Linked DNA regions of Lonchura striata. The main gene of each other region encodes a partner of the protein of the gene in region 4 in a complex. Links are inferred from orthologs where the notes say so. Each region holds a gene or a part of one and is shown on either strand. Other genes may lie near its edges.

Evidence for each region.
Region 1: EXOSC3 (region 4) and EXOSC1 share a complex: the UniProt entries of both Homo sapiens proteins name them as parts of the RNA exosome core complex. The link is inferred for Lonchura striata from reciprocal best matches to the Homo sapiens genes EXOSC3 and EXOSC1.
Region 2: EXOSC3 (region 4) and EXOSC7 share a complex: the UniProt entries of both Homo sapiens proteins name them as parts of the RNA exosome core complex. The link is inferred for Lonchura striata from reciprocal best matches to the Homo sapiens genes EXOSC3 and EXOSC7.
Region 3: EXOSC3 (region 4) and EXOSC4 share a complex: the UniProt entries of both Homo sapiens proteins name them as parts of the RNA exosome core complex. The link is inferred for Lonchura striata from reciprocal best matches to the Homo sapiens genes EXOSC3 and EXOSC4.

The regions. Positions count from the first base shown.
Region 1 is NC_134609.1:18,916,907-18,924,104, reverse strand, and holds EXOSC1 (exosome complex component CSL4), read right to left. Parts: upstream 2,808-7,198; 5' UTR 2,783-2,807; coding exon 2,752-2,782; intron 2,549-2,751; coding exon 2,433-2,548; intron 2,260-2,432; coding exon 2,185-2,259; intron 1,607-2,184; coding exon 1,518-1,606; intron 1,304-1,517; coding exon 1,270-1,303; intron 1,145-1,269; coding exon 1,094-1,144; intron 1,016-1,093; coding exon 931-1,015; intron 828-930; coding exon 670-827; 3' UTR 536-669; downstream 1-535. Other genes in the region: palmitoyltransferase ZDHHC16, read left to right, coding at 5,089-5,325, 5,830-6,024, 6,211-6,299, 6,505-6,533, 6,738-6,871, 7,093-7,140. UniProt on the Homo sapiens protein: Non-catalytic component of the RNA exosome complex which has 3'->5' exoribonuclease activity and participates in a multitude of cellular RNA processing and degradation events.
Region 2 is NC_134603.1:111,683,143-111,690,856, reverse strand, and holds the start of EXOSC7 (exosome complex component RRP42), read left to right. Parts: upstream 1-4,670; 5' UTR 4,671-4,690; coding exon 4,691-4,747; intron 4,748-6,059; coding exon 6,060-6,161; intron 6,162-6,820; coding exon 6,821-6,915; intron 6,916-7,714. UniProt on the Homo sapiens protein: Non-catalytic component of the RNA exosome complex which has 3'->5' exoribonuclease activity and participates in a multitude of cellular RNA processing and degradation events.
Region 3 is NC_134603.1:819,396-826,629, reverse strand, and holds the start of EXOSC4 (exosome complex component RRP41), read right to left. Parts: upstream 3,042-7,234; coding exon 2,871-3,041; intron 1,789-2,870; coding exon 1,570-1,788; intron 1-1,569. UniProt on the Homo sapiens protein: Non-catalytic component of the RNA exosome complex which has 3'->5' exoribonuclease activity and participates in a multitude of cellular RNA processing and degradation events.
Region 4 is NC_134609.1:7,919,370-7,926,409, forward strand, and holds EXOSC3 (exosome complex component RRP40), read right to left. Parts: upstream 3,021-7,040; 5' UTR 3,007-3,020; coding exon 2,740-3,006; intron 2,653-2,739; coding exon 2,503-2,652; exon of another isoform or gene 2,473-2,502; intron 1,960-2,472; coding exon 1,808-1,959; intron 394-1,807; coding exon 192-393; 3' UTR 96-191; downstream 1-95. Other genes in the region: DYDC1 (DPY30 domain-containing protein 1), read left to right, coding at 5,233-5,379, 5,512-5,622, 6,952-7,032. UniProt on the Homo sapiens protein: Non-catalytic component of the RNA exosome complex which has 3'->5' exoribonuclease activity and participates in a multitude of cellular RNA processing and degradation events.

The DNA.
Region 1 (7,198 bases), about 11 Mb from region 4:
GGGCTCCCTGCTGCCAGCACGTGCACAAGGCAGCAATCCCTGCTGGGCACAGACAGGAGGGTGCAGAAGCTGTGCCAGGCTCAAGGAGCAAAGCTCAGCTCTGCAATCTCTGCCCAAGAGGGTGACACCCTGCCATGCTCTGGTTTTTGGTCTGTGTGTACCACACCCTTGTTCCATAGGGCAGGGCAAGCATGTGTGGCCTGAGGAGATGAGATACGTCCCCAGGCTATTCTCAGCCACGGCCCACACTGGTTAGTGGTGAGCTGAGACAGGCTCTGCACCAGGCTTGACTCCTGTGTGGGGAAACCAACCTGGTGAGGAGTGCCCAACACAGCTGCAGCCTGGGGCTCTGTGCTGTTGGCGTCACTGCAGCAAAGTCACTCCATCACTCCCCTTCACCAGCAGTGAAAATGTGCTTCCTTCTGCCCCTGCTGCTGTGGAAGCTGTTCCCTCACCTGCTGTGCTGTGGGAGCCAGACCAGAGTGCATGGATAGCCCTGGCTCCCCCACTTACTGTAAAGAACGAAGCAGGAAGCTCTCAAAAAAAATTTATTATCCACAAGTAGCAAACCCATCCTGCCAGTGGAGGCCTGGCTGAACCTGTGAAGGAGGTGGGAGCCCAGGGGCTGCTCTGGCTCCACAGCCACAGTGCTGCAGCCCCCTGCCCCCCTCAGCTGTTACGTCTGCAGGAACTGGGGCTGCACCCGGGCCACCTTACGGAACTCCTTGGTGTGTGTCCGTGGGCACTGCATCTCACACCAGCTGATGGGCACCATCTGCACCCCTGGGCACGTAATGTCAGACTTGCTCTTTCCCAAAGTTGCATTCCTCCATATGGAGAGGGAGGCAGCTGCATCAGCTGCCCCCAAGGCAGGAATGAGGCAGAACTGTTTCAGCCCAGTCCCTGTCTCTGTCCCTGTCCTGCCCTTACCTGCCTCGCTGCGTGCCACCACCACACCCAGCTCGTTCTCTGCTGTGCTCAGCAGGTAGTTGGACTGTGCATCCCCCAGGGAGATCTGGTTGGACAGGGGTTAAGGGACACACTTCCACAAGGGAGCTTGAGCCAACACGGTGTCCCTGAGGAGGAAGGATACAACTTTGGCCAGGACGATGTCACTGGGGCGGAAGCTCTTGTACACTTCTACCTGCACAGGAGAGAGCAGGCAATGCCACACAGCGCCAGGGTGCTGTCAGTGGGGGGACAGGGCCCCCACAAGCAGGAACTGGAGGGCAATGGGTGTACAACAGCAACTGGCAGTGGCTCACTGACCTTATCCTTCTCTGTGGCTCGGATATCTTCTCTCCTGAAAAAGGAGATGGAGGGATCTGAGTGCCAATGAGCAAAGACAACTCAACCGCCTGTGGCAGAAGCTGCCTCAGCCTTCCTGGGTGCTCACCAGGACGCGCTGGACACCAGCCCAGTGCTCAGGGCAGAGTTCCAGCTCAGGGCAGCCAGCTGCACTGCCCACAACAGCCTTCCTCCCCCTGAAGGGTGGGGAATCCTAACCTTTTCCCTACCGTATGGTGCCCCGGAAGGTGGATTTCAGCGGCGTGGAGCCAACATACAGGATGTGGACCTTGGCAAAGCGAGAGTTAATACTGCAGACCTGCATGTAGGAAAAGGGGAATCAGTGGTCCAGGCAGGGAAAGGGCAGGGAGCAGGCAGGGCTGCATGGGGAGCTCAGGTCTCACTTGGCCTCCTCCTCCCCGCTGTGACCAAGCAACGGTGGGACACCTGGCAGCAAGCCAGGTGAGGATGATTATATTTGTGCAATTCGAGGCACCAGAATAAGGCTGAGACCTGCAGTGATCTCAGTCCCTCTCCCTCCACTAGGAATGTAAGGAAACTAATCCCTGGTCCATGTCATCCTTTCTACAAGCTGCTTGAGGCACTGACCTGCATACTCCCTGTCCCAGGAAGGAGTTATGGAAGGAGAGCAAAGAAAATCCTCCCCTCAAGCCCACCTCAGTCTCAGGGCAGGTGTCCCTCATGCCAATACCCACTTGGTGAGTGAGAAACTCAAGGGAGCCCCTGGGCTGCCCCTGCCCTGGTGGGAGTTGTACAGAAGGCACTAAGAAGCCCAGGGACTCCTCACTCCACCCTATCCGTGTGCAGGAACAAAGCTCAGTATGAGACAGAGTCGAGGCCCATGCAGTTTGTCAACGCAGTGCTCCAGCGCCCCACCTTGCATGTCACCACAGCCCCCACGTTGGGCAGGAGCTGGGACTTGCTGTCTCTCACCACCGACACCACGGGCAGCTGCAGGGCAAGACACGAGCGTCAGCACAGGGCACAGCTTGTGCACAGAACCACCGGCCGAACCCCATCGGAGTCCAACTCCCTGCCGCAGCCCAGTCTCCAGAGAGGCCGTGCAGCCTGGGTGCACAGCACGCAGCCCCGGGGAGGAGCAGCCGTGCCGCGGCCGCGCTCACCTCGTTGTCCTCGTTCTTCCTCTCCAGGCAGCCAGCCAGCGAAGAGAAGATGAAGCCATGGCGAGTGTAGGTCCCGCTGCCAGCCGTGGCCTCCTCCGTGCTGCACAGCCGCTCACCTGCGACACAGCGGCTCAGGGGCTGCCGGGGACCGGCCCGCTCCGGCACAGCTCCCGCTCCCAGCCGGCCGAGTGCGGCGCATCCCCGGGACAAGCCCCTCCGCACTGCCTCGTCCCTACTCCTCTCCTAGCCCACTGCGCTCCCTTTCCGGGCGGTAGCATCCCCAGTCCCGGGAGCCCGGACAGCGCCGGGCCGCACTCACCGGGGACGCAGTACCGCGCGGGCGGCGCCATGCCCGCGGCCGACAACGCTTCACCAGCAAGCCCTCATCCTATTGGTTCTGGACGTCAATTCTGCGCTGTAAGCGTCGCGGCTATTGGTTCTCGCCTAGCCGACCTGAGGCATGCTGGGGGCTGTAGTCCGGCGGCGGCAGACGGAGCTCCCGGCGTGCCGCGCGCGGGCGCTGCCCGTGGGCCGGCGGGGCCCGGGCATGGCGGCGGCGGGCGCGGGCCCAGGTCGGCGGCGCCGGGGCCTTGCGAGGGGCTGCGGGCTTGTCGGGGCTGCGGCTGCCGCGGGGCTGGGCGGCGATACAGAGGGGCTGCGGGGCGAGGAGCGCGGGGGCCGGGAGGCGATGGGGATGCTGCGTGTGCTGTGCGGCCGGAGCCGGGAAGCGGTGCGGTCTGTGGCTGGGGGCAGCGGGGGGATGCTGCGGGCTGTGACGGGGCTGGAGGCGGTGCGGCTGCCGGCGTGGGCAGCCTTTGAGGATGGGGCTAAACACCGGGATGTCCTGGCTCTGGACAGAGAAGTGGGGCTGGATGCTGCTGAAGCGGGGGAGCGGGCGCTGTGCAGCCACCGGAGGGTGCCACAGGGCTGCGCCGGGGGGCCTGGACCTGGCGGGGGAAGGCCTCGCCTTTGCCCGGGGTGGGGCCAAATCCGAGGATCCCCACCCCTCGGTGTGATGTTGCCAGTGCTCCTGTCTGTGCTGGTTGCTGTCCCGTTCCCATGGGCTCGGTGCCGCGCCGTGAGCAGGGCGAGGGGTGGATCCCAGGGCCCGGCTGGGCAGGAGAAAGTTGCGTGGCTCTGCTGGAGCCTCGTGTCTGTGCTTACGCTGCTGTCTTCAGGCAGGTGCCTGGGGACAGCGGGTCTTGCTCTGGAGCGGGCTCCTGCCTCCCCTGTGGGTTCCCTGCCCAGCAGCTGCCGCTGCTGTAGGTGAGGAAGTTTCTCTGTGGGACAGGAAAGTGCTGTGTCTTTGGAGGAAAGGGTTGACCTCAACAGCTGCTTCTGGCTGCTGTGATTTGTCTTTTACCACACTGACAAAACGGGGACGTGTGCCATCCAAAGGCTGAACGGCAGGAAGTTGTTGCTCTATTTTGCACCTGCTGAGCTTCAAGGAAAAGCTCTTGGCATACAAAAGGGGAAATGTGGAGAAGAGGGTGATGCAGATGTTTGCATATCCCACCTCTGCCATACCAGGGCAGGAGCCATGTCTGTGACCTGGAATGGGCTGCTGGGTGTGGGGTCCTCATGTCCAGTAGATCCCAACTTTGGGGTCAACCCCACACTCCTCAGGCCCAGGGTGGAGGAGAGCCCTGGCTTCTTTGGGCAGCCCATGTGGATGGTGCAGTTTCTGCCCTCACCCTCCCTGCTGCTCCCCAGGGGCTGTGTTGGTGGGCACCTCAGCGCAGTGGGACGATCCCTGCTGGAGGCACCCTGAGCTCTGGCACCGGTGCCTGGCACCAGACCAAGGCAAGTGCTTGGCCCAAGCTCAGAACGTGCCTTGGCAGGACCCCGGGGCAGCCTCGCTGCTTAATATTGATGGGTATTGCCTGCACAGAGGCCTGGGGGCCCCAGCCCTGCAGATCGTTTTCCCATGTGCTGGGCCAGATCAGGTTCCTCGTCACTCCCAGCAAAGCTCTCAGGCAGGACAAGGGGCTCAGCGGGCAGGGGAGCACTGGCCCGGGGCTGTCCCTGGGCCTCTCATTTGCTAGTGTGTGGTACTGTTCAATGATTCAGGCAAGGAGAAAGAGGAAATGTTGGGACTCTTGGAGTGAGGCTGTGAGGTTGGGAAGGTGGCCTCTACCAGCTTGGTCCAGAAGTTGAGGTGAAGGGAAGTAGCATCCTTCACTTTAAGGAGGGGCTAGGGGAGGAGGGGTAATCCTGTACTGTCTCCTCCACATTTTCCTTGTGTGGATTCCCCTGTTCATGAACATGTTGGGAAGGGCTGAAATCATCTCTGGAAATGGCCCAGCATCCTGGATGTTCATGCCTTCTCTGGTTTCCTCTGAGTCAGACTCTCCGTGTCGCTCCCCCGGCCCCCTCCCCGCTGGGAAAGACGAGATGGGACCAGAGAGCACCTGAGCCCAGATGCTGAGGGGCCTGTGCCCCCTGCTCCGTGCAAAGAGACATCCCGGCGACAGCGGCCCCGCAGCCTGCAGGAGCCTGGGCTCAGCTTCTCCAGCTCGGCATCCTTGTCGGTTCAGGGAGCTGCACTACCGGCATCAGCACGGCCGGGAGGGGAAGCCCTTCCCGAGGCACAGCCAGGCAGCAGGGTGCCCTGCCCACGCCGAGCTCCTGTCCCCCCAGGCGTGGTGTGGCGGGGATGAGGAGCCGGCAGCGGATGTTCGCCGCGGTGATGCGCCTGCTCCTCAAGTGCCTGCGGCTGGGGCGGCGGCGGCGGTTCAAGCTGGTGCGGCAGGTGGAGCAGCTGTGGCACTACGGGCACCTCTGCCTCCGCTCCCTGCTCTACAACTCCTTCACCAATGGCGACGTGGTGCTTGACTCCCTCTTCGAGCCGGTCTACTGGCTGGTGGACCACGTCACCCGATGGTTTGGTGTGGTGAGTTCCCCTCATGGGGCAGGGTACACGTGGTGCTGGGGCAGCGGGCTCAGGGCTGCCTGTCCTTCGGGCAGGAAGTGAGCTGCAGCCTTAGTGTGCGGTTCAGATTGGTTTCCTCTGGCTCTGTCCTGCCCGTGCCTCTTCCCAGGCAGCAAGGGGCAGGCTCTGCCCACTCCAGTGATATCTCTGTCGAGGCAGGATGGGAATGAATAGACTTGACTCAGAAGGCTGCTGAGAGTAAAACTCCGATTTATTCAAAATACGCTGCTCTTTTATACAGAGCTTCGCAATGATCAAATCCATTGGTTCTGAAGTGAAAACAACCTACAGCATTGGTGCAAAGTGCTTGATGCACAGTGATAGAACTATAAACAGTGTGAAAAACAAGAGAGATAAAGGATTATTTACATTCTTTCCCAGGCTTTTTGCCTGGCCAGAAACTCTCAGTTTCTTTCTTTGACTGAATCTGAGACCCACACAGTGACCCAGGTCCCTTTTCTGTAGGTGTTTGTGGCACTGGTGATTGGGCTGACGAGCTCTATTGTGGCCATCGTGTACATCTGTCTGCTGCCCCTCATCCTGCAGACCTACACACCTGCCTGGATATGCTGGCACCTCGCCTATGGACACTGGAACCTCATCATGATTGTCTTCCACTACTACATGGCTATCACCACTTCACCTGGGCACCCACCACAGGTGAGGCACCAAGTGAGCTATGGATGGTCACTGGGAACAGCCTGATAATGTTGTTGCAGGATGCCTCTAATCTGGGAAGCTAGGCTGGGCAGTGCAGAGTGGGGAGGCAGCGGGGTGGCACAGAGGAGAGCAGGAGTTTGAGATGCAGGGTTTAAGATGTGCAAATCTCTTCTGACCTGTGCACAGGCCAAGAACGACCTCACTGGCGTGTCCATCTGCAGAAAATGCATTGCCCCTAAGCCAGCTCGCACCCATCACTGCAGCATCTGCAACAGGTAGGGCACCTTCCCTCTGCCCAGGGCAGCCTTTGGAACCCTGTTCCTCACCCCCTGCCCCAGTGTGAGACAGGGGCCCTTCTCCTCTGCGCTGCCACCTCCTTGCCCTGTCGCTTGTAGCCTGCAGGGCTGGGGGGTGCCTGTCCCCTCCCAAACACACCACTTGCACTGGCTCTGACACTGGCACTGGTCTCTTCTCTCCCAGGTGTGTGCTGAAGATGGACCACCACTGCCGTATCCTTCTGCAGTACTAACCAGTGGCACACTCCTGGGGGGAGCCAGCATTGCTTCTCCCTTCTCTCCCAGTCCCTTCTGTTGAGGAGACAGCCAGCATAGGAATGGGTGTTGGGAGCAGGGCGCAGAAGAACTGCCCTGGTCCCTGGGTTGGGTTTGGACCCATGGTCTGTCACAGTTATGTACCTTTAACCCCAGAGGCAGCCTGGCTAAACAACTGTGTGGGACACTACAACCACCGCTACTTCTTCTCCTTCTGCTTTTTCATGACCATGGGCTGCATTTACTGCAGCATCAGCGGCTGGGAGATGTTCCGGGATGCCTACGCAGCCATTGAGGTGAGCAGCCTCTCCTGCCATGCGCCAAGACTGCCTGGCTTCCCCAGGCTGAACTTGCAGAGCAAGGCTGGGCCAGGCCCAGCCATATAGTGACTTTGCTTTCCCTCTTCCTCCTCCTGCAAGGCCCCCAGCTGCTATGGTCCTAGGGGGGTGCGAGGGGAAGGGCCCCTGTCCCACTCCTCTGAGACACATAACTGGTGCCCTGTTTTCCATCCCCCTAGAGAATGAAACTGCTTGAGAAGGAGAGACTGCAGGTGGCTGCCAACCAGGTGGGACATCCCTGCCCCCCAGCTTCTCCAGGCAGTGTGGAGCAGAGCTGCCGTGCAG
Region 2 (7,714 bases), on a different chromosome or scaffold from region 4:
CAGGACCACTGCAATCCACTGACAGATCACAGGACCACGACGAAATCGCTGGAGGCTCCGACTTTAAATGTCCTGCCGAGGGGACTCGACGCTGCTCCGAAAGGCCGCGGAGCAGACCTAAACCACGTATTTAGCACGCAATCATTTAACGTGTTCAGCTTCCCAGTATTTAAAGCCCAGCGCTGGAAGGCGGCGAGGTGAGAGCGGGAGCCCTCCTCCCGTTTCCGGACCGATGCCCACAGGTCCTGGGGATGCCGCTGCGGGACACGACCCGCCGCCCGGCCCGGCCCGGGGCCCCGCCGAGGGATGTGGAGCCCCGCGCCGCCCTCGGGCGGCCGCGCCACCGCCGGGCTCCCGCACCGCCGAGGGGCCGCGCGGGCCGGGGACGGCGGGGACAGCGGCGGGGCCGGGGGGCTGGCGGAGCGGCGCAGGCGGCGGCGGGATGGCATCCACCGGCGGCCCGCTCCCGGTTCCAGCTCTCTGCTCCCAGTTCCCGCTCCGCCAGCGTACACACCTGCCCGCCCCCCAGCACCCCCCGCCCCGCGCTGTCAGTCGCACCCACCTACCCCAGTGGCCGCCGCCGCCGCCGCGGGTCCGGCGCGCCCCGCCGCCCCCGCGCCGGCAGCGGCGCGGCACGGCACGGCACGGCACGGCACCGCACCCCCCCTTCCGCCGCCCGCCCGCCCCTAGCGCGGAGGTGGAGCGGCCGCCGGGAGGAACCAGGAAGTGAACGGCGGCGGCGGGAGCAGCGCGTCCCCGGCCCTGCCCCTCCCCGCCCCGCCGAGCGCGCCCCGGCCAGGACGGGCACCGGCGGCTGCGGACCCTGTGCCGGCTGCGCGTTATCGGCCCAGGCGGGCGGGTGCCGGGGGAAATGCGGGCTTTGTGAGGAAAACACCACACTTTTTTGTTTTGGGTTCTGCCTCAGCGGGCACCTCTGAGCCCCAGGCGGGTTCAGGGTAGTTTTGGTTTGCAGGTATCCAAAATCTGTTAGCACTCGAGAAGTGCAGAGCAGTGAGGACGTCTGGGGAACTGCAGTATCATTCTTAGGAGGAAAGGCTGAGGGAGTTGGGCCTGTTCAGTCTCGAGATGAGACTACTGAGAGGGGACATCATTATTGTGTATAAATGTCTAAAAGGAGGGGCGTGTGGGTGTGCCAAAGAGATGGAGCTGGGCTCCTCTCAGCAGTGCCAAGCAGTAGGATGCGGGGCAGTGGGCAGAAACTGATGCACAGGAAGTTCCACCTTCACAGGAGGAAGAACTTCTTTGCTGTGTGGGTGACCACATGCTTGAAGAAGTTGTCCAGAGAGGTTGTAGAGAATGCCTCACTGGAGATACTCAAGAACTGTCGGGACACAATCCTGTGCCATGTGCACTAGGACAGCCCTGCTTGAGCAGGGAGGTTGGACTCGATGACCCACCATGGTCCATTCCAACCGTACCTGTTCTGTGACCGTGATTCTGTGACACAGCGCTCCACTGCAGCTGTCATGTTCAGAGCCAGGGCAAGGGCTGAGTTTGCTTGACACTCTCCATGTCAAGCCACCGCTTCCAGCCTTTGTGGCCTTGCCCAGGTATTAATCATGCAGTGCAAATCTTCACAATTCAGGGGGTTGCCTCAGGCTGGCTGTGTTGATTTGGCATAGCCTGTTTTTTTGGTAGTGGGAGACAGCCAGAAGTGGCTTCTATGAGAAGCTGCTTGAAGCTTCCACCACATCTGACAAAGCCAATCTCTCTGGTGGCTCTGAAGATGAACATGCTGCAGGCCCAATTAGACAGGTTGGTAATACCTCTATTTAAGAAGAAAATCAAAACAGCACACAGGCAGCTTTTTCCAGGGGTGGCAAGGTGCTGCCATTGGGGCCATCCCAGCACAGTGCCATTGCCATCTGGGCACTGCGGCCATCGCCATCTGGATGCAGCCTACAGCAAGCCTTGTCTGCTTGGCCACCCCAAGCCAACTGTGCTGCAAGCAGAAGGGCAGTGGGGGCACCTTCTCCTTCCTGGTGCCCCGCATGAGGAGAGGCACTCAATAACACCAGTGCTGCGGCAGCCACCACTGCCCATTGGTGGCTATGGGGCCACCTGGCCGGTGGTGAAAACACGGCAAGCAACTCCCCAGTGCAGAACCTAGACAAGATCAACCACTGAGCGCTGTAGGGTCCTGCAAGGATTTTTGAATTGGTGGAGCTTGTTTGCAATGGTACCTACAAGCAGCAGTTTTTCTCCTGGTCAGAGAAGAGGAGGAAGTGAGGACATGTGAGCATCCCGGTCAGTGGAAAAAGAAGGGGAGGAGGTGCTCCAAGAGCCAGAGCTGAGATTCCTCTGCAGGCCATGGTGAGGCCTATGGTAAAGTAGGCTGTCCCCCTGCAGCCATTGAGGTCCATGGGGGATGCGGAGATCTACTCACAGACCATGAGAGAAGTACACTGGAGCGGGTGGATGCTGGGGAAAACTCTGATCCAGTGGGAGACCCAAATGGAGAGAGAGGGCCCCTGCTTCCAAACTATAGCAGCCTATCCTCAGAGGACTGCACCCTGTGGACGAGTGACTCACACCACAGCAGTTTCAAAAAGACTGTTTGCCCATGGGAGGGACCCCAGGGCATAGCAGATGAAAGACTCCTTTCCCTGAAAAAACAGAAAAAAAATCTCAAGTGACAATCTGACCAAAACCCCCACACCCTGTCTCTCTGCATTGTTGGTGGGAAAGAGGGAGGGGCTGGAGAGAAAAAATGTTGGTTTAAAGGCTTATTTTACTTCTCATTATCCTCCTCTACTCTGTTAATAATAAATTTGCTTTATACCTTTAAATTTTAACCTGTTTGCTCTTAGTCCTCATCTCAACTCTTGAGCCCTTCATTAATTTTTTTTTTCCTCTCCTCTGCCCAGTTGAGAGCAAGAGAAGATCAGCAAAAGGCTTTTGTGGGTCAAACCATGGCCAGTGTCAAACCATGACATGGGCCAACACACATAATTCATTTACAATGAAATTAAAGATACTGCTTTGCCTTTAAAAAAAATCCCAACATACAAACCCCAACAAACCTAAGAAACAAGTGGCATCCTTTTTTGTATGATAAGTTTCATTACTGCCTCGTGCTGGAATTTTAATGTCCTCAGAAGTGCTCTTTAGGACAAAAGGTTGCCTTCTGCCCTCCTTGAGGAAAAACGAGCCAAATCTGTGCTCCTTCCACCTTTAAAAAACTGCTTTTTGCATGTGAACAAAATTTGTTAGCTGAGCCTCTGGACTATCCAAGAATTTGACTAACATTACGTAGACTACAAGCTGGGGTGGCAGAAGTGGGAAAAAAATTAACACATCACTCCTGCCTGGCAACTCTAACTGTTAGCTGCTGTGGGCTAAGCCATGAGAGTCAGGAACTAAGATAAGAGCCAGAATGTCATCTCCCTGTGGTCTCTCAGTGGAAATCACAGACTGCATCTGCATTAACACTATTTCAGATCAATAATTCACTCACATTTTCAGGGAATTTTTGATTTATTCCTACTTCTTGTTTGGTTCAGACTGCAATGTGAGGACACAGGTATCATACTACAAGTCAAACGAAGGGTCAGTCTGTGCTGGACAGCAGCACTGGTAGATGCTATTTTAGAGAGAACATACAAACCAGGGCCCTTTCATGTATGGCACTCCCGTGGGCCAGCAAGGAGACCTGACCCTGCTCACCTCCCCAGGCTGAGTGGAGAAGACAAGCTACCCAAGCTCCCAGCTCTGCCAGGCTCCACTGCTGGCTCTCCCCACCAAAAACAGTAAACAATCCCCATACAACCCTAGGTAAAACTTCCAAAAGCATCCATCCCTCCTGAAGTTTGCTCCCACTGCATCATGCCACCTGCTCCAGTAGGTACAGCCAGGAATGCTTTGCACATTTGATTTAACAAGGAGTTGTGGAAAGCTGGATAAACTCTGGCAGTGTGCTGAGTAATCCTTGGGAGCCATGGATCATTTTTAGCCAAGCAAGCATCAGCGTGAAGTCAAGATAGCATATTTTAAAATACTCTGAAAATTTTTACACAGGAGCTAGGCAAAAAGGCATGCAAACTTACACTAATGATTGTTATGAAACTTTCAATTAAAGCTGTCAAAAAAACCCAACCCTTAATTATTGTTTTAATATATAGCGCGAGTTTTTAATCACATTTCCCACTTTCCCAGTGATATCTGGCACAGGACCAACAGAATCTCCTAAGCATTTGGTTTCTTCCCTGCTCCCGCACCAGCCTTCCCCGCGCACCGCGCTTCGCTTGGACCTTTCTGAAGTTAAAAACTCCGCAAGGAAAAGGAGGAAACGCAGAAGACTGTGACTACGCGATCCATTTCTGCGCACCAGGGTATTTCCACAGCCTCCTGGAGGAGCTTTTGGCAGAAAGCGGGAGCTGTGGCTTTACCGCGAGGGCCAGCTTCTCGGAGAGGACGTTTCCCGGGATGCCCGGGGGGTACCGCGCTCAGAGCGCTGCACCAACTCCGCGCGAAAGCCTTCTGTGGCTTCCCGGCTGCACCCCCGCTTTGCCAGCAGGCAAGGGGAGCCGCCGCTGTGAGTGCCGGTGCCGGCTGGGCGGGCGGGACAGCCGCCCTGGCTAGCCGGCAGACGGACGGACGGACGGACGGAAGGCGGGCGGGAGGCGGGGAGGAAGCGCGGCAGTGCGCAGGTGCGGCGGAGGCGGCGGGCATGGCGTCCGTGGTGCTGAGCGAGGCGGAGAAGCTGTACATCGTGCACGGCGTGCAGGTACCGCGGGCGGGAGGCAGGGGAGGAGGGAGGGAGGGAAGGAGCCCTCCACCGCTCTGTCTGGTGGCGAGCCTCTGGAGCAGTACTCAGCACACCGAGCATCAGAACGGGAAGCAGGCTGAGAGCGGGACGTGGATTTGTTTTCACAGAATCACACAATATGCTGGCTCGGAAGGAACCCACGAGGATCACCCACTTCTGGCCCTGCACAGAGCACCCAAAGAGTCACACCGTGTGCTTGAGGGCATTGTCAAAAGGCTTCTTGAGCTCTGTCAAGCTTGGTGTTGTGACCACTTCCCATGGGAGCCTTTTCCAGTGTCCAGCCACCATCTGGTTCAAAAACCTTTTCCCGATGTCCAACCTAAGTCTCCCCTGACACAACTTCAGGCCATTCCCTCAGGTCCTGTCACTGGTCACCACCGAGAAGAGATCAGTGCCTGCCCCTCCTCTCCTGAGGAAGTTGTAGAGTGCAGTGAGGTCTCCCCTCAGTCTCTTCCAGGCTGAACAGCCCAAGTGACCGCGGCATCCCTTCAAACGACTTCCCTGCAGGGCCCTTCACCATCTTCATTGCCCTCCTTCGGATGCTTTCTAAGAGCTTAATATCCTTCTGCCCCCATCTGCTCCTCTTTCCTTGGTCTTTCCTGGCTCTTCCTCAAGTTACTGCCATTGGATAGAGTTTTAGCCTGTAACTTGGCGAAGGAACACGAGTGGACAATGGAGGAAGAGTGAAGGGTGTTTAAGGAGAAGCCCCAAAGATAAAAGAACTGTATTCTTACTGAAATTTACTGAAAACCTGTTTTTATGGGAATGAGCTGTAGAGTATCAGAGGATGTGTAATACTCATTTGTGGAATACAAATGGAGGAAAGCATTTGGGAGGCTGGTGTATTACTTTTGTCTGCTGGGGTCCTAATTACTGATGTAAAAGTACAGAACTTGCCTATCCAAGGAAAGAGCTGGGTTGCGTTAGGTAAAGTACCATTTAAAGCCAAGACCTTTACAGTTTTGAAATCCAAAGCTTTCTTTTGGGAATTAGAGGGACTTGGTGCAATTCATTGGTGCCTGCAGATTGCTTGTTACAAGCTCTACATAAATGAGATATAAATTAAAAAGTATAGTTTGTTCTTTTGTATTCCATGGTGAAACTACAAGTTTTTGCTTTTATATCCTTTTTAGTGCTGCATTTGGTATAGGAGAAGGAAAGTTTAAAGTCACAGAGTTTTTTGTTTGTGGTGGGGGTTTTTTGTTTGTTTTGTTTTGTTTTTACTTTTCACTACTGATTCCCTCAACAATAAATTGGTTGTCATACTTAGGAAGACCTTCGTGTAGATGGTCGAGGCTGTGAAGACTACAGATGTGCAGAAGTAGAAACAGATGTTGTATCAAACACAAGTGGATCTGCAAGAGTAAAGCTGGTAGGTAAATTTCTTAGGGATTGGGTACCTTGCTAATGAAATTGCTTCATGTGACTAGTTAATCTGATGCTATTTATAGATAGGTTTGTGTATAACCTGTATAACATGTATGTGTATAGCAGTAACTGAAACCATGGGATATGGAAATAATGGTAGGATATATAATTACTTCAGGCTGGCTCGAGCTGGATTTACTGTAAAGTGCCTGAACAGCCTTAAGTCTGCAATAATTTAACATTTAATCTTGAAAACTGAAGTTGCTTGTTGTGCCTAGTTTCTGGGAGGTGCAAAAATTTCTATTCCTTTAAAACGATGCAAAACTACTTCTGACATGTTGACTGTGAAGAAGATAAATGTACTGTGCACCATTATGAAGGTTCTGCAGAAAGAGCTGTTTGCAGAACCAAAATGACAGAAGTAGTCTTGGATATTAAGAATCTTTTTAACCTAAAGACAGGTAATATGTATGGTAATTGTTTGAAGAATCTTCTTACACTTAATATTGTCCTTCTAAAGCCTTTTGTTTTTTAAAAAAAATGTTAATTTTAAGTTCATTCTGATAGAATGATCAGATAACTGAAAGGTAGAAATGTCAGTTTACCGTAGACATTTAAATTAAACACACAGTTCTGTTGAGTGATGTGTTCTTGTTTTAATAGGGAGAAACTGATATCTTGGTAGGCATAAAAGCTGAAATGGGGACACCGAAGCTGGAGAAACCAGATGAAGGTTACCTGGAATTCTTTGTTGACTGGTTAGTATACTAGAAAATAATGAAATAGATCTAATACTTGGAATAAATTACTGATCAGGTCTTGCCATTCTTCAGAGGTTTATGCCTTCATTCCACTAACCTCCTCTAGGGGTTTGAGTGAGAGAAACAAGTTATTCTACCGTTTCAGTAACAGTGAATGTTGAGGAATTTTCTGCTGATCCTGCAAACCCAAAAGAAGCAAATCAGCAGGAGTTGAACAATCAAAACTAGTTAAATAAAACAATCCCAAATTGCATAGCATCACTGCAGCTGGAAAAGGGTAATGGTTCAAGTACACACGCTTGGAATGAGCCTTCATGATTAAAATGTCTAGCTGTTGTTTTTGCCATGATAAAATAGAGAAAATTTATTTAAAAAAAAAAAAGTTGGAAGAAAATAATTGACCAATGCACACTGTACTTTAACTATACGTAAAGTTTGGCTTACTTTGTCTGTGAAAGCAGTGGAAAAAGTTTGACATGTGTTTAGTACAATTTTTTTTTTTTTAAAAAATGAAAAACCTCAAATGTAAATTTCAGATGCAAAGACTAATTAGAAATTTTAGTTATATATTTATATGTGAATCCATCTTTCATTAACTAAAAGGGTGTTTATTTTTAATCAGATTTTTTGCATTTTGTTACAAGTGGACTGTTATTTATCCTTACACTCTTCATAGTGTTTGAATTATGCAAGAAGCTGGAAGAAAACAGAACTCTTGTTTAGAGGTTGCTCTGAGATATCACAGTGATATCTCAATGTTAGTCTAAATTGTCTGCAGCCAAGACTACAGTATCCA
Region 3 (7,234 bases), on a different chromosome or scaffold from region 4:
CACCCAAAATCCACCCAAAACCACCCCAAACCCCACAGGGGCCCGAGTGCCCCAGCAGCGCCAGCCCGGCCGCGCTGACGCTGGCCCCCAGCTCGCCGCCGTCCGCCTGCAGCACCTGGGGGGAGAGCGGGGTCAGGGGCACCCCAAACTCCCAAAATCCACCCAAAATCCACCCAAAATTCACCCAAAAATCCCACAGAGCCCGAGTGCCCCAGCAGCGCCAGCCCGGCCGCGCTGACGCTGGCCCCCAGCTCACCGCCGTCCACCTGCAGCACCTGGGGGGAAGAGCACTCAGAGACACCCCAAAAACACCCAAAACACCCCAAAATCCACCCAAAACAGCCCAGAAACACCCAAAACACCCCACAGATCCTGTGTGCCCCAGCCTGGCCGCGCTGACGCTGGCCCCCAGCTCACCCCTGTCTGCCTGTAGCACCTTCGGGGACAAGGGGTGACTCAAAATCCCCCAAAACACCCAAAATAACCCCCAGGATCCCCCAAATCCCCCCAAACTCTCCCAAATCCCCCCCAAAGCCCTGACCTGGACATGCACGTCGATCTGCGAGCGCGGGTAGAGCTGTGCCAGCACGGCGCCCTCCAGCACGCCCCGCAGCAGCAGGGCACCCCCAAACACCCCCAGACCCTCCCAGGACACCCCCAAAACCCCCAGGACACCCCCAAACCCCCCCAGGACACCCCCAGGACACCCCCAAACCCCCCAGGACACCCCCAAACCCCCCCAGGACACCCCCAAACCGCTCACCTGGACGTGCACGTCGATCTGCGAGCGCGGGTAGAGCTGTGCCAGCACGGCGCCCTCCAGCACGCCCCGCAGCAGCAGGGCACCCCCAAACACCCCCAAAGCCCCCCAGGACACCCCCAAACCCCTCCAGGACACCCCCAAAACCCCCCCAGGACACCCCCAAACACCCCCAGGACACCCCCAAGCCCCCCCAGGGTCACCTGTACGTGCACGTCGATCTGCGAGCGCGGGTAGAGCTGTGCCAGCACGGCGCCCTCCAGCACGCCCCGCAGCAGCAGGGCACCCCCAAACCCCCCCAAAGCCCCCCAGGACACCCCCAAACCCCCCCAGGACACCCCCAAAACCCCCAGGACACCCCCAAACCCCCCCCAGGGTCACCTGTACGTGCACGTCGATCTGCGAGCGCGGGTAGAGCTGTGCCAGCACGGCGCCCTCCATCACGCCCCGCAGCAGCAGGGCACCCCCAAACACTCCCAAACCCCCCCAGGACACCCCCAAAACCCCCAGGACACCCCCAAACCCCCCCAGACCCCCCCAAACCCCCCCAGGACACCCCCAAACCCCCCCAGGACACCCCCAAACCGCTCACCTGTACGTGCACGTCGATCTGCGAGCGCGGGTAGAGCTGTGCCAGCACGGCGCCCTCCAGCACGCCCCGCAGCAGCAGGGCACCCCCAAACACCCCCAAAGCCCCCCAGGACACCCCCAAACCCCCCAGGACACCCCCAAACCCCCCAGGACACCCCCAAACCCCCCCAGGACACCCCCAAACCCCCCAGGACACCCCCAAACCCCCACAGGGTCACCTGTACGTGCACGTCGATCTGCGAGCGCGGGTAGAGCTGTGCCAGCACGGCGCCCTCCAGCACGCCCCGCAGCAGCAGCGCTCGCTCCGCCGCCCGCCGGTCGCTGCCGCCCTGCGCCGGGCGCCGCCGCCGCTCGCCGCCCCCCGCGAACGGCGCCGCGCTGCAGCGGCAGCTGAGCAGCGCCCGGTCCGGCGGGGCCTTGGCCCGGGACCCCCGGACCTGGGGGGAAAGGACATGGGGGGCTGTGGGACCCCCGGACCTGGGGGGAAAGGGGATGGGAGTGGGGGGCAAGGACATGGGGGGCCTTGGCCCGGGACCCCCAGAGCTGGGGGAAAGGGGATGGAGTGGGGGGCAAGGACATGGGGGGCTGTGGGACCCCCGAACCTGCGGGGGAAACGGGGATGGGAGTGGGGGGCACGGACATGGGGGGCTGTGGGACCCCCGGACCTGGGGGGAAAGGGGATGGGAGTGGGGGGAGCATGGACATGGGGGGCTGTGGGACCCCCGACCCTGCGGGGGAAAAGGGGATGGAGTGGGGGGAGCACGGGCAGGGGGGGCTGTGGGACCCCCGAACCTGTGAGAAAGGGGATGGGAGTGGGGAGAATAGACATGGGGGGGGGCTTGACCCGGGACCCCCGAACCTGCGGGGAGAAAGGGGATGGGAGTGGGGGGCACGGACATGGGGGAGCATGGACATGGGGGGCTGTGGGACCCCCAGAGCTGGGGGAAAAGGGGATGGGAGTGGGGGGAGCATGGACATGGGGGGCTGTGGGACCCCCAGAGCTGGGGGGGAAATTGGAGGGCTGGGAGTGGGGGGGCACACAAAGGGTGGGGCTGGGGGACCCCCAGAGCTGGGGGGGGGGGGGTAAACATCAGGGACTGGGGGGACCCGGAGATGGGGAGGCTGTGGGACCCCCAAAGCTGCAAGGAAAAAAGGGGGGCTGGGGGGGGGGGGGGGGCGTGGGACCCACACAAGTGGGGGGGGGGGAGAGAAATGGGGGGAGGGCACAAATTGGGGAGGGGGGCTCAGAATGGGGGACCCTGAAAGTCCCGGGAGGAGGGGGGAGACTGAGGGGGGGTCACAAGCCCCGAGGGGATTCACGAACCCAGGGGAAGTTCACAAGCCCCGGGAGAGGCTCACAAGCCCCAGGGGAGGTTCACAAACCCCGGGAGAGGCTCACAAGCCCCAGGGGAGGTTCACAAGCCCCGGGAGAGGCTCACAAGCCCCGGGAGAGGCTCACAAGCCCCGGGGAAGTTCACAAGCCCCGGGAGAGGCTCAGAAGCGCCGCGGCCCCGCTCACCTCGTGCGGGCCGTACACGGCCGCCAGCACTTTGGTGTTGCCCTGCTCCAGGTAGGCCGAGCCGTCCGCCCGGGCCAGCACCCCGAGCCGGGCCCGCACCTTGCGCAGCTCGTCCGGCCGGCGCCCGTCCGCCCGGAACCCCGCGTCGGACAGCAGCTCCAGCCCCGCCATGCCGGCACCGCGTGAGGGGCGGGACTACGGCTCCCGGCGTGCCCCGCGCCCGGCACCGCGTGAGGGGCGGGACTACGGCTCCCGGCGTGCCCCGCGCCCGGCACCGCGTGAGGGGCGGGACTACGGCTCCCGGCGTGCCCCGCGCCGGGACCGCGTGAGGGGCGGGACTACGGCTCCCGGCGTGCCCCGCGCCCGACGGAAGCTCCAGCCCCGCCATGCCGGCGCCGCGTGAGGGGCGGGACTACAACTCCCGGCGTGCCCCGCGCAAGCCGCCCGCCAACGGGAGGCACCGCCCCCGTGACGCTCCCGCGGCGGAAGCCACGCCCCTTGTGACGCAACCCCACACAGATCACGCCCCATTCGGGCCACGCCCCCGGACAGAGACCACGCCCCCCGCGGGGCGGTGCCCCGGTACCGCCCGAGGCCCCGCCCCTAAACCACGCCCTAAACCACGCCCCCCCGAGGCCCCGCCCCTCGGCCGGTTCGCGGCACCGGGCGGGACCCAACGGGACCCAACGGGACCCAACGGGACCCAACGGGACCCAACGGGACCGGGCGGGACCGGGGCGGCCGCAGCGCCCCCTGGCGGAGCGGCAGCACCGGGACCCCGCGGCACGGCCCGGCTCCGAGCCCGGCCCGTCCCGACCCGTGCGGCTCCGGCACCGAGCCTCGCACCGGGGCAGAACCGGCACCGGTCCTTCCCGGACAGCGCCGAGCCCTTGTCCCAGCGGCAGCGAGCGCTCACCGGGGGTAGCGGACCGGACCGGAGCGACCCTTCCCCGGCTGACCCCTGTCCGGCCGGCCCGACCTTGTCCAGGCCGGAGCGGAGCCCCGGGGCCGCCGCTCCCGGTGCCGGTGCCGGTGCCGGTGCCGGTCCCGCCATGGCGGCGCCGCTCGCCCCCGCCGGGTTCCAGTTCGCCATCGACCGCGGCGGGACCTTCACGGACGTGTTCGCCCGCTGCCCCGGCGGCCGCGTCCGCGTCCTCAAGCTGCTCTCCGAGGACCCGGCGTACCGGGACGCGCCCACCGAGGGCATCCGCCGCGTCCTGCAGGAGGTGCGAGCGACCCCCGGGCCCCGGGAGCGGCGGGGACGGCGGGGACAGCGAGGGGACACGGCGGGGGGACAGGGGGGACAGCGAGGGGACACGGCGGGGGGACAGGGGGGACAGCGAGGGGACACGGCGGGGGGACAGCGGGGACAGCGAGGGGACACGGCGGGGGGACAGCGGGAACACATCGGGACCCCCCGAGTGTCCTGCTGGGACCCCCGGGACACGGCGGGGACACGGCGGGACCCCCGGGACCCCCCGAGTGTCCTGCTGGGACCTCCGGTACCCCCGGGACACGGCGGGACCCCCGGGACACGGCGGGGACACAGCGGGACCCCCGGGACCCCCCGAGTGCCCTGCTGGGACCCCCGGGACACGGCGGGACCCCCGGGACACGGCGGGGACACAGCGGGACCCCCGGGACACGGCGGGGTACCACGGGACCCGCCCGAGGTCACCGGGACCCCCGGGACCCCCCGAGTGCCCTGCTGGGACCCCCGGTACCCCCGGGACCCCCGGGACACGGCGGGGACACGGCGGGATCTCCGGGACCCCCCGAGTGTCCTGCTGGGACCCCCGGGATCCCCGGGACCCCCGGGACACGGCGGGGTACCACGGGACCCGCCCGAGGTCACCGGGACCCCGGGACCCCCCGAGTGCCCTGCTGGGACCCCCGGGAGCACAGGGACCCCCCTGAGGAACTCCCCGGGACCACCGGGAACCCCCAAAGGACCCCACGGGGACCCCCCTCAAATGCCTCTCACAGGGACCCCCGTGGGGAATCCCGGGACCCCCGTGGGGAACCCCCAGACCCCTCCCGGCCCCCCTAAGCCCCCCAGCCCTGGGCCTGCCTGGACCCCCTGCCCCAGCCCGTGCGGGGGGTCCCCAAATGGGTCTGGGGGTCCCCAAGTGGGTCTGGGGACCCCAAAATGGGTCTGGGGACCCCAAATAAGTCTGGGGGTCCCCAAATGGGTCTGGAGGGCCCAAATAGGTCTGGGGTCCCCAAATGGGTCTGGGGTCCTGGGTCTCAGTTTTAGGGTCCTGCAGGAGCTGGGGGTCCCAGGTGAATTTGGGGTCCCGGGGCTCAGTTTTGGGGACCCCCCAGGAGCTGGGGGTGCCGCTGTGGCTCTGGGGTCCCGGGTGAATTTGGGGTCCCGGGGCTCAGTTTTGGGTCCCGGGGCTCAGTTTTGGGGTCCCGGGTGAATTTTGAGGTCCCGGGGCTCAGTTTTGGGTGCCGGGGCTCAGTTTTGGGGTGCCGCAGGAGCTGGGGGTGCCGCTGTGGGTCTGGGGTGCCGGGGCTCAGTTTTGGGGTGCCGCAGGAGCTGGGGGTGCCGCTGTGGGTCTGGGGTGCCGGGGCTCAGTTTGGGGTGCCGGGGCTCAGTTTTGGGGTCCCGGGTGAATTTGGGGTCCCGGGGCTCAGTTTTGGGTCCCGGGGCTCAGTTTTGGGGTCCCGGGGCTCAGTTTTGGGGCGCCGCAGGAGCTGGGGGTGCCGCTGTGGGTCTGGGGTGCCGGGGCTCAGTTTTGGGGTGCCGGGGCTCAGTTTGGGGTGCCGGGGCTCAGTTTTGGGGTCCCGGGGCTCAGTTTTGGGTCCCGGGGCTCAGTTTTGGGGCGCCGCAGGAGCTGGGGGTGCCGCTGTGGGTCTGGGGTGCCGGGGCTCAGTTTTGGGGTGCCGGGGCTCAGTTTGGGGTGCCGGGGCTCAGTTTTGGGGTCCCGGGGCTCAGTTTGGGGTGCCGGGGCTCAGTTTGGGGTGCCGGGGCTCAGTTTTGGGGTCCCGGGGCTCAGTTTGGGGTGCCGGGGCTCAGTTTTGGGGTGCCGGGGCTCAGTTTTGGGGTCCCGGGGCTCAGTTTTGGGTGCCGGGGCTCAGTTTTGGGGTGCCGCAGGAGCTGGGGGTGCCGCTGTGGGTCTGGGGTCCCGGGGCTCAGTTTTGGGGTCCCGGGGCTCAGTTTTGGGGTGCCGGGGCTCAGTTTTGGGGTCCCGGGGCTCAGTTTTGGGGTCCCCGGTGAATTTTGAGGTCCCGGGGCTCAGTTTTGGGGTGCCGGGGCTCAGTTTTGGGTGCCGGGGCTCAGTTTTGGGGTGCCGCAGGAGCTGGGGGTGCCGCTGTGGGTCTGGGGTCCCGGGGCTCAGTTTTGGGGTTCCGCAGGAGCTGGGGGTGCCGGGGCTCAGTTTGGGGTCCCCGGGCTCAGTTTGGGGTGCCGGGGCTCAGTTTGGGGTCCCCGGGCTCAGTTTGGGGTCCCGGGGCTCAGTTTGGGGTGCCGGGGCTCAGTTTTGGGGTGCCGCAGGAGCTGGGGGTGCCGCTGCCGCGGGAGCAGCCCCTGGACGCCGCCGGGATCCAGTGGATCCGCATGGGCACCACGGTGGCCACCAACGCGCTGCTGCAGCGGCGCGGGGAGCGCGCGGCGCTGGCCGTGACCCGCGGCTTCCGCCACCTGCTGCACATCGGCACGCAGGCACGCCCGCGCCTCTTCGACCTGGTGAGCACACCTGGGCACACCTGGGCACGGCTGGCACTCACCTGGGCACGGCTGGCACTCACCTGGGCACTCACCTGTACCCAAACCCACCCCAAACCCACCCCAAACCCAACAACCCAAACCCACCCCACACCGGCACCTGCTGCACATCGGCACGCAGGCGCGCCCGCGCCTCTTCGACCTGGTGAGCACCTGGGCACGGCTGGGGCACACCTGGGCACGGCTGGCACTCACCTGGGCACTCACCTGTACCCAAACCCACCCCAAACCCACCCCAAACCCAACAACCCAAACCCACCCCACACCGGCACCTGCTGCACATCGGCACGCAGGCGCGCCCGCGCCTCTTCGACCTGGTGAGCACCTGGGCACACCTGGGCACGGCTGGCACTCACCTGGGCACTCACCTGTACCCAAACCCACCCCAAACCCACCCCAAACCCACCCCACACCGGCACCTGCTGCACATCGGCACGCAGGCACGCCCGCGCCTCTTCGACCTGGTGAGCACCTGGCACACCTGGGCACACCTGGGCACGGCTGGCACTCACCTGGGCACGGCTGGCACTCACCTGGGCACTCACCTGTACCCAAATCCACCCCAAACCCAACAACCCAAACCCACCCCAAACCCACCCCACACCAGCACCTGCTGCACATCGGCACGCAGGCG
Region 4 (7,040 bases):
AACCACAAAAGCGAGTCAAAACAAACTCCTTAAACAACACAGAATCAAGCTGAGTGGATAAAGAAGGGAAATGAAGACCAACCAAAATCGAGTACTTCATTTAAAAAAAGGCTTTTAATATATAAATCTGAATACAAAAATAACCAAAACACCCTACAGTCATCACAAACAATCCTCAAGGTTTTCTCTTATCAGTTCCCTGACAGTTTGGCAAGCGCTTGTTTTCTCTGTTGTGCAGTCATATACTCACAGGCTTCCAAAATATTTACTATAATTAAAGTCTGTTGCACTGTTTTAGCTTTTACCCATATTCTTCCATTCATTCCCAGCACCAGCTCAAATGGGTACAATTGTGACAACTCTTGAATTATTTCACATTTGGGAGCCAAGAGCCTGTGAACAAGACAAAAAAAAAGTCAGAGGAAGGAGTGATCATGCTTACAGAGACCACATTATTATTGACCAGTAGCTCCAGCAGTACTGCTATTATGGGAGCCATTTAAGAAACACTGAAAGATTATAAAGTTCTATATACATCCAACATAGCAATACAGTATCAGATTTTCAAGGCTCCTGGCATATAAAATGCATGCACCTAAAAAAATAAAGCCATTATAAATTTACTTTTGTCATTAGATTCAGAAGCAATCCCTGATAAGTTTAAAGTTAATTGATACTTTTACACACAATTCTATGAGCAAATAAATCTAAAAGTACACAATTTGACCAAATGACATTTTTGATGTGCTATTTATTTGACACCCCAGAGGTGTCTTTCAAAACAGGACTTCCCTTCTATTTCAGGAAACAGTATTAACAGCAATAAATAGCCTACTTCATTTTTATTAGATGACAACATACTAAATCCTGTAATGCGTCTAGAATTAAATCAAGATTAGACAAGTATTCACAAAAAATAAAAGCATACCAGTATTTAGCAGTTTACTTGTAATATGCTGTTATTTTTTTTACTTGTATACAGACAAAACTTGGAAAACAGAATGGCTGCAAGAAGCTTTTGTATCAGTTCATGCTGACTTCTAATAGGACATATAAATCAGACAATGCCAGGTATGAAAAAGCTGCTCTGCAGTGCCAGATTGCTTATCCAAAGAATGACAAAACAAACAAAAAACTCCACCCAAAAAGCAAAAACAAATTTTGACTATTGTTTATCCATGTAATCTGGTATACTTTAACAGTCACAAAAAAAAAAGTCATGTATTTACATCAGCATAAGCAACTCCAAAGTTCACAATACATTTAAAAGCTTATGAAACAGTTCCTGGATTTATGTGTCAGCCTTAAACTAAAATCCAACATTTTTAAAATCTGTATTTCAATGTTATTTATTTTTATTTGGAAGTCAGAAAATAATGTGTACTGATGTGCAAAGATCCCTTTAATCAGCTGTCAGCCAAACATACACCCTCTATTACCCCCACGAAACAGAACAAGGACAATAAGCATTGCCAAGTTTTAAACTCCAAGGTAATATGTACATAGCTGAAACACTATCCTGAATGTTTGACTACCCCAAGACACTACTTTTATTTTCCATACTGCCTTGGCATCCACATCACTATTTTTAAACAGGTGATGTAACACCATACAAAAGAGCTTCTAAGTCTCTTAAAAGAAAAAATAAACTTTTCTTCTAGATCAATCCATACTCTATTCAGTAAATCTGGTTTCAACGCACTACAAGAATCACACAGTCTGATTTACCAAACTGCCCACACTACTCAGAAGAAACAGCTGTGGTAATTTATACGTGAGAGTGACTAATTACATTTTTAGTACTTACTTTCTTATTAGACCTAAGGAAACTTTAAAGAGGAAGCCGTCTTGTCCAATTATTCCCATGCCACTTGATTTTCCACTGCTGTCTATACACACCATCTCTGGTTCCATGTCTTTATTTGCTACAACAAACTGACCATAAATAAGATCTCCCACCTAAACAAAACAGTGTCAAAGAACAAAAGTACAGGATTTTATCTCTTATAATCATTTAGCAGGACAACAATAAAAAATATCACACCGATTTTGTTTTTCTTTACAGTTTTACCTTTTACATTCTGGTAATGGCATTTCATGGGAGTGCAGAAACTATGGCATGCATGTGCAACACAACCATTCATAACAGCGCTGTTAAAAGAACCCACACAACTAATATTTTCTACCAGCATCACGTTTTAAAACCCTAACATCGGAGCGCCCTTTCGGAGGCACCTTATGAACTGCATCTGCTCCTGGCAAACCAACACATGAGAGTGAAGCACCCAGCCAGCTGAGAGAGAACAAACCACGCTAGTTACGGTCCTAAAAAACCCCAGAGAGGCCGCGGCCAGTGGTGCAAAACGCTCTGAGGAGGACCAAGGCGAAACCATTAGAACCAGACCTCCCCTAACTTCCCCTAAGAAAAGCCACTGGAACGCGACACGGGCGCCACCAAAGGACGCAGCTGAAGCGTCACCGGCAGCGAAGCAGGGCACCCACCTGCACGTTCGGCCTGTTCCTCTTCGTGGCACCTTCGAAGGCCAGGTAGGACAGGGACGCGGGCTCGCTGCCGCCCACGTCCAGCCGGAACACGTCCCCCGCTTTGGCCGTCACGATCCCGATGACGTGGTCGCCCTTCACCGGCACGTACTGCAGCGGGCGAGGGGGACAGAGGGTCAGGGGAGCGCGGGCTAACACACAGACACACAGACACACACACAGACACACGGACCCTACCCGCTTCTGCTGCGAGTCCACCCAGAAGGCGCCGCCGCCCGCGGGCCGGTGCCGCAGCAGCCCGCACTTGGTCACCAGCAGCCCGGCCCCGCTGCGCCGCAGCCCCGGCCCGCACAGCAGCCGCCCCTGCGGCGCCGTGCCCGCGCTCAGCCGCAGCCGCTCGCCCTCCGCGTCCTCGTCGTAGTGCGCGGGCAGCAGCAGCAGGTCCCCGGGCAGCACCACCTGCCCCACCAGCGCCTCGGCCGGCGCGCCGCGCTCCGCCGCCATGGCCGCGCCTCGGGCCGGGGCGGCGGCTGCGCCCTGCGCCCCGCGCCCTGCGCGGAGCGGCCGCGGCGCGCCAGCGACACCGCCCGGCCGGTCCCCGAGCTGCAGCCGGCCCCGCGCCGCTCACGGCGCCTCCGCCAGCCGCCTGCCTTTCCTGCGGGAAGCAGCCCGCCTTCCAGTTCTGCCGGGGGGCGGCCAAGGTGATGTTCATTTCGCACTTACGCGTCGGAATTAATAAACACACGGAGCTAATTCTTCCAGCTGCAGTTACAAGGGTTTTGAATACCCGATTAGAAGTTGACAGCAAAACAAACAGCTGGTAAATATGAGGTGACCGTCAGCCGATGAGTTTGGCAGGGAGCAAAAAAGATCACATCAGTTGTGAAGGGAAACTGCTCACAGACAGATGGTATTAAAACAGTTGGAAAGGATCACAATGGGTCATCTGGCCCATCCTCCCTGCTTTAAGCAGGGTCATCCTAGAGCACGTTGCACAGAACTGCATCTAGACAGTTTTCAGTATCTCTAGATAGAGTCCACAACCTCTCTGGGCAATCCGTTCCAGTGTGTGGTCACCTGCACAAAGTAAAGTTCTGCCTCCTGTTTAAATGGAGCTTCCTATGCATCAGTTTCTGCCCATTCCTTGGTGTCCTAGTGGTTGGCACCACGAAGCAGAGCTTGGCACCTCCCCTTTAGATATTTATACATATTAATAAGGTCCTCTATCAAGCATCTCTTCTCAAGGCTGAGCAGGCTCAGCTCTCTCTTTCCTTATAAGAGATGCCCAAGTCTCTTAATGATCTTCATAGCTCTCTGCTGGACCCACTCCAGATCTTCATGTCTCTCTGTCCCTGCGGAGCCCAGAACTGGACACAGCACTCCAGGCAGAACCTCAGCAGACGGGCAGATTCACTTCCCTTGACATGCTAGCAGTGCTTTTCCTAATGCACCCGGGGGTACCATTGGCCTTCTTGGCAACAAGGGCACTGCTGCAAGACCTTGTTGTCCATCAGATCCTCCTCCACAGAGCTGCTCCCCAGCAGATTACCCCCAGCACTTGGGATTATTCCTCCCCACGTGCAATACCCTGCATTTGCCATAGCTGAATTTCAGTTTCTTCTCTGCTCATTCAACTCCATTTTTTTCAAGTCTCTCTCAAGGGCCACAAAACCCTCTGAGGTCTCGGCCTCTCCTCCCGGTTTTGTGCCCTCGGGGACCTTTCCGGCCAGGCCCTTCACCCCTCCGTCCGCTCCTGCGGGCGGCGCTGGGGCCGCTGCGCTGCCGCCGCTGTTGCGGAGCAACCCCGCGCGCTGGTAGGAGCGGAGCGGGGCCGGGCCGGGCCGGGGGCTGCAGCCCCGGCGCTCCGGGAGCTGCTGTCCGAGGGAAGGCGGGCGGCTACAGCAGAGCGGAGCAGGCAGCACCGGCTGCCGGGGACTGGCGGAGTGTGAGGGAGGCGGGTAACGGGCTCCGCGCCCCGGGGCAGGGCTGAGGAGCCCGGGCAGGGGGGCGTGGGCGGCGGCTCCGGGTTACGAGGGTGGGCACACTAAGGCCACCTGGAGCCCCCGTGAACGCGGAGGATGGGCTGTAGTCACTGTGTCAATTCATTGCCTGGGCTCTCTGCCCTGGCACGTTTTCAGCCCCCTTGGCAGCAAAGGACGGCTCCTGTGTACTTAGACTGGGCTGGTGGAGTGTGTGCAGAGATCTGTGCCTTTCGTAACTGTAGAGCGTTCAGACCCTCGCCTTGCACACATCTCTTAAAGATAGCTTTGACAGTTCAAACTAAAATTACCCTTAATTGTCCTCAGAGTTAGTTGCCTGTTCTCTGCATAGAAGTTTTTAATGTCCTGTTGTGCTTTTCAATGTTGTTTTTTTTGTTTTGTTTTGGTTTGGTTTGGTTTTTTTGTTTTGTTTTGTTTTTTTTTGTTTTTTGTTATCATGCAGCCCTAGAATTAGCAGTGTGTTTCCAAGTACTTTATGAATTATACATGTCCAAACAATAAGGTGGGGTTTAAGCATTTTTTTTTTCTGCAGTGATTGTTATAACTGAGCTGTCACTGGCGCCTTTAAGAGCTAAATTACTGCTAAATAACTTTCTTGTATAAATTGAAGGCTTAGTAAAAAGTATTGTCATAATCAGTGTTTGGCACCTGAAGCAAGAGTTCTTAGAGCCCCTAACTTAATTCTAACATTGATGTCTAATGTCTGTCTGTTTATTGTCAGTAGATTTGGATGGAGTCTCAGTATCTGAAGCAATGCCTGGGAAATTGTTTGAAGAAGGGACTGGCAGAGGTTGTAGAGCATCGGCCAGCAGATCCAATAGAGTATCTTGCACACTGGATTTACAATTACAGAAGAAACTTAGATGAAGAAAAAAAGGTAGATCTAACTTAGGCAAAAAAAAAAAAAAAAAAAAAAAGAAAAAAAAAAAGATTGCTACAATATAGTTGATGCTATTTAATATATCTTTCATTTTTATGTTTAATTGATTCTGTGTTACATCTGAAATAGAGAATGCTGGAGAGAGCTGAGATAGAGCAAGAACGGGAGGCAGCCCTAGCAGAACTTGAAAGGTTAAAAATCCAGGAAGAAGAGCAGCGGAAACTTGAAGAACAACGTCAGGTTATTAATAATAGATAACTCCAAGCAGCATATGGTGCTGTGGCATCTTGGAGCTCTTTGTATACTTCTAATAGCTATATAATGATTTTGATAAAGGTGGCATAAAGCAAGTATTTCAATCTCACTTTTCTGAGTAACTAAAATTATTAGTCAGCACATGGGTAGGAAAAGTTACATACTATGGAGTAAAATGTTATTAAAAAATGATGGCTGTTAAGTTAAAAGGCAGCCAATTTAGGAGTTACGTGAGAAGTAACTGAAAATACTGTTTGGGCTTACAGTATCAGAAGTAAATACAATATCTGTGTTTTTAGCCATTCTTTGTAAAGGAATCATATGAACTCAGTGTTGACATAGTGATGTTGGTGTGACCTGACTGGTTTTCTTGTATGGATGACTTTCATAAAGTTAAAATCAAAAGCTTAATTTTAAATTTATGCTGATCACATTATGCCCAGCTCTAGTGTAAGATGCATTCATTTTATTTCGTTTGCAGTTTTAAAATTTGGCCTTTAGTAATTTACAAACTAAGAGTAATGTGCTTAAGGGTTTCATGAGTGATATAAAATAGTAAATGAAAATAAAGAGATTGTGTCCAGAGATAATTCACTGAGAATTATACTCACATTAGATACATTTTTTTTTTAACCTAACTCAGTTTTGGCTGTAGTCAAATATTGAGGTAAATTTTGCTTTTATGTACCATAAAGGAATAGAAAATTATGACCATAATTGTAACTACTCACAGAATGCAAGAGCAAATAGTATTTGCTAAGGTTGTTGAATGTAAATACTTAGATTATGCAGTTTCTGAAGTTTGGATGTGATAGGACTTATGTTCACAATTAATAAACACTTCCCGTTAGATATTTCCAGTTGTAAGTACTAAAGGTTGCTGATGGACATGATTAATGCTAATGACATTGCTTGCCAAATTTTTCTATAGATTTGATTCTATATTGATTCATCCATCTGTGCTAGGTGCTACACAAAGTATCAAAGAGCTTAATCCAAAGGATAGGAGATAACTAATACAGATTGATAAAGAGCTTGTGTAATGAGACAGGATCTGAAGTGTGTACACTAACTTCACTTAACTGCTTTATCTTCCTCTTGGTAGTAAAGCCTCTTTATCCATAAGAGTCTCAAACCTTTGAAAATGTCAAACCAGATGATACTGAAAGGACTTTATTATTTGCATAACATAGCAGTTATGTTTTATGTTTACTTTTTTATTTCAATATTAAATACTTTGTAAACAATGAGGTGAAAAAGATAAATGTGGGGCTTGTTTCCTTTATAATTTGTCCTTTCTTAAACTGATTGCAGGCTCAATTGGAGAAAGAACTTGCAGAGTTGGAAGCACAGAAAAAAGAAGCTGAAATGCAGTTGCAGCAGGAAGATCAAGAGGTTTGACC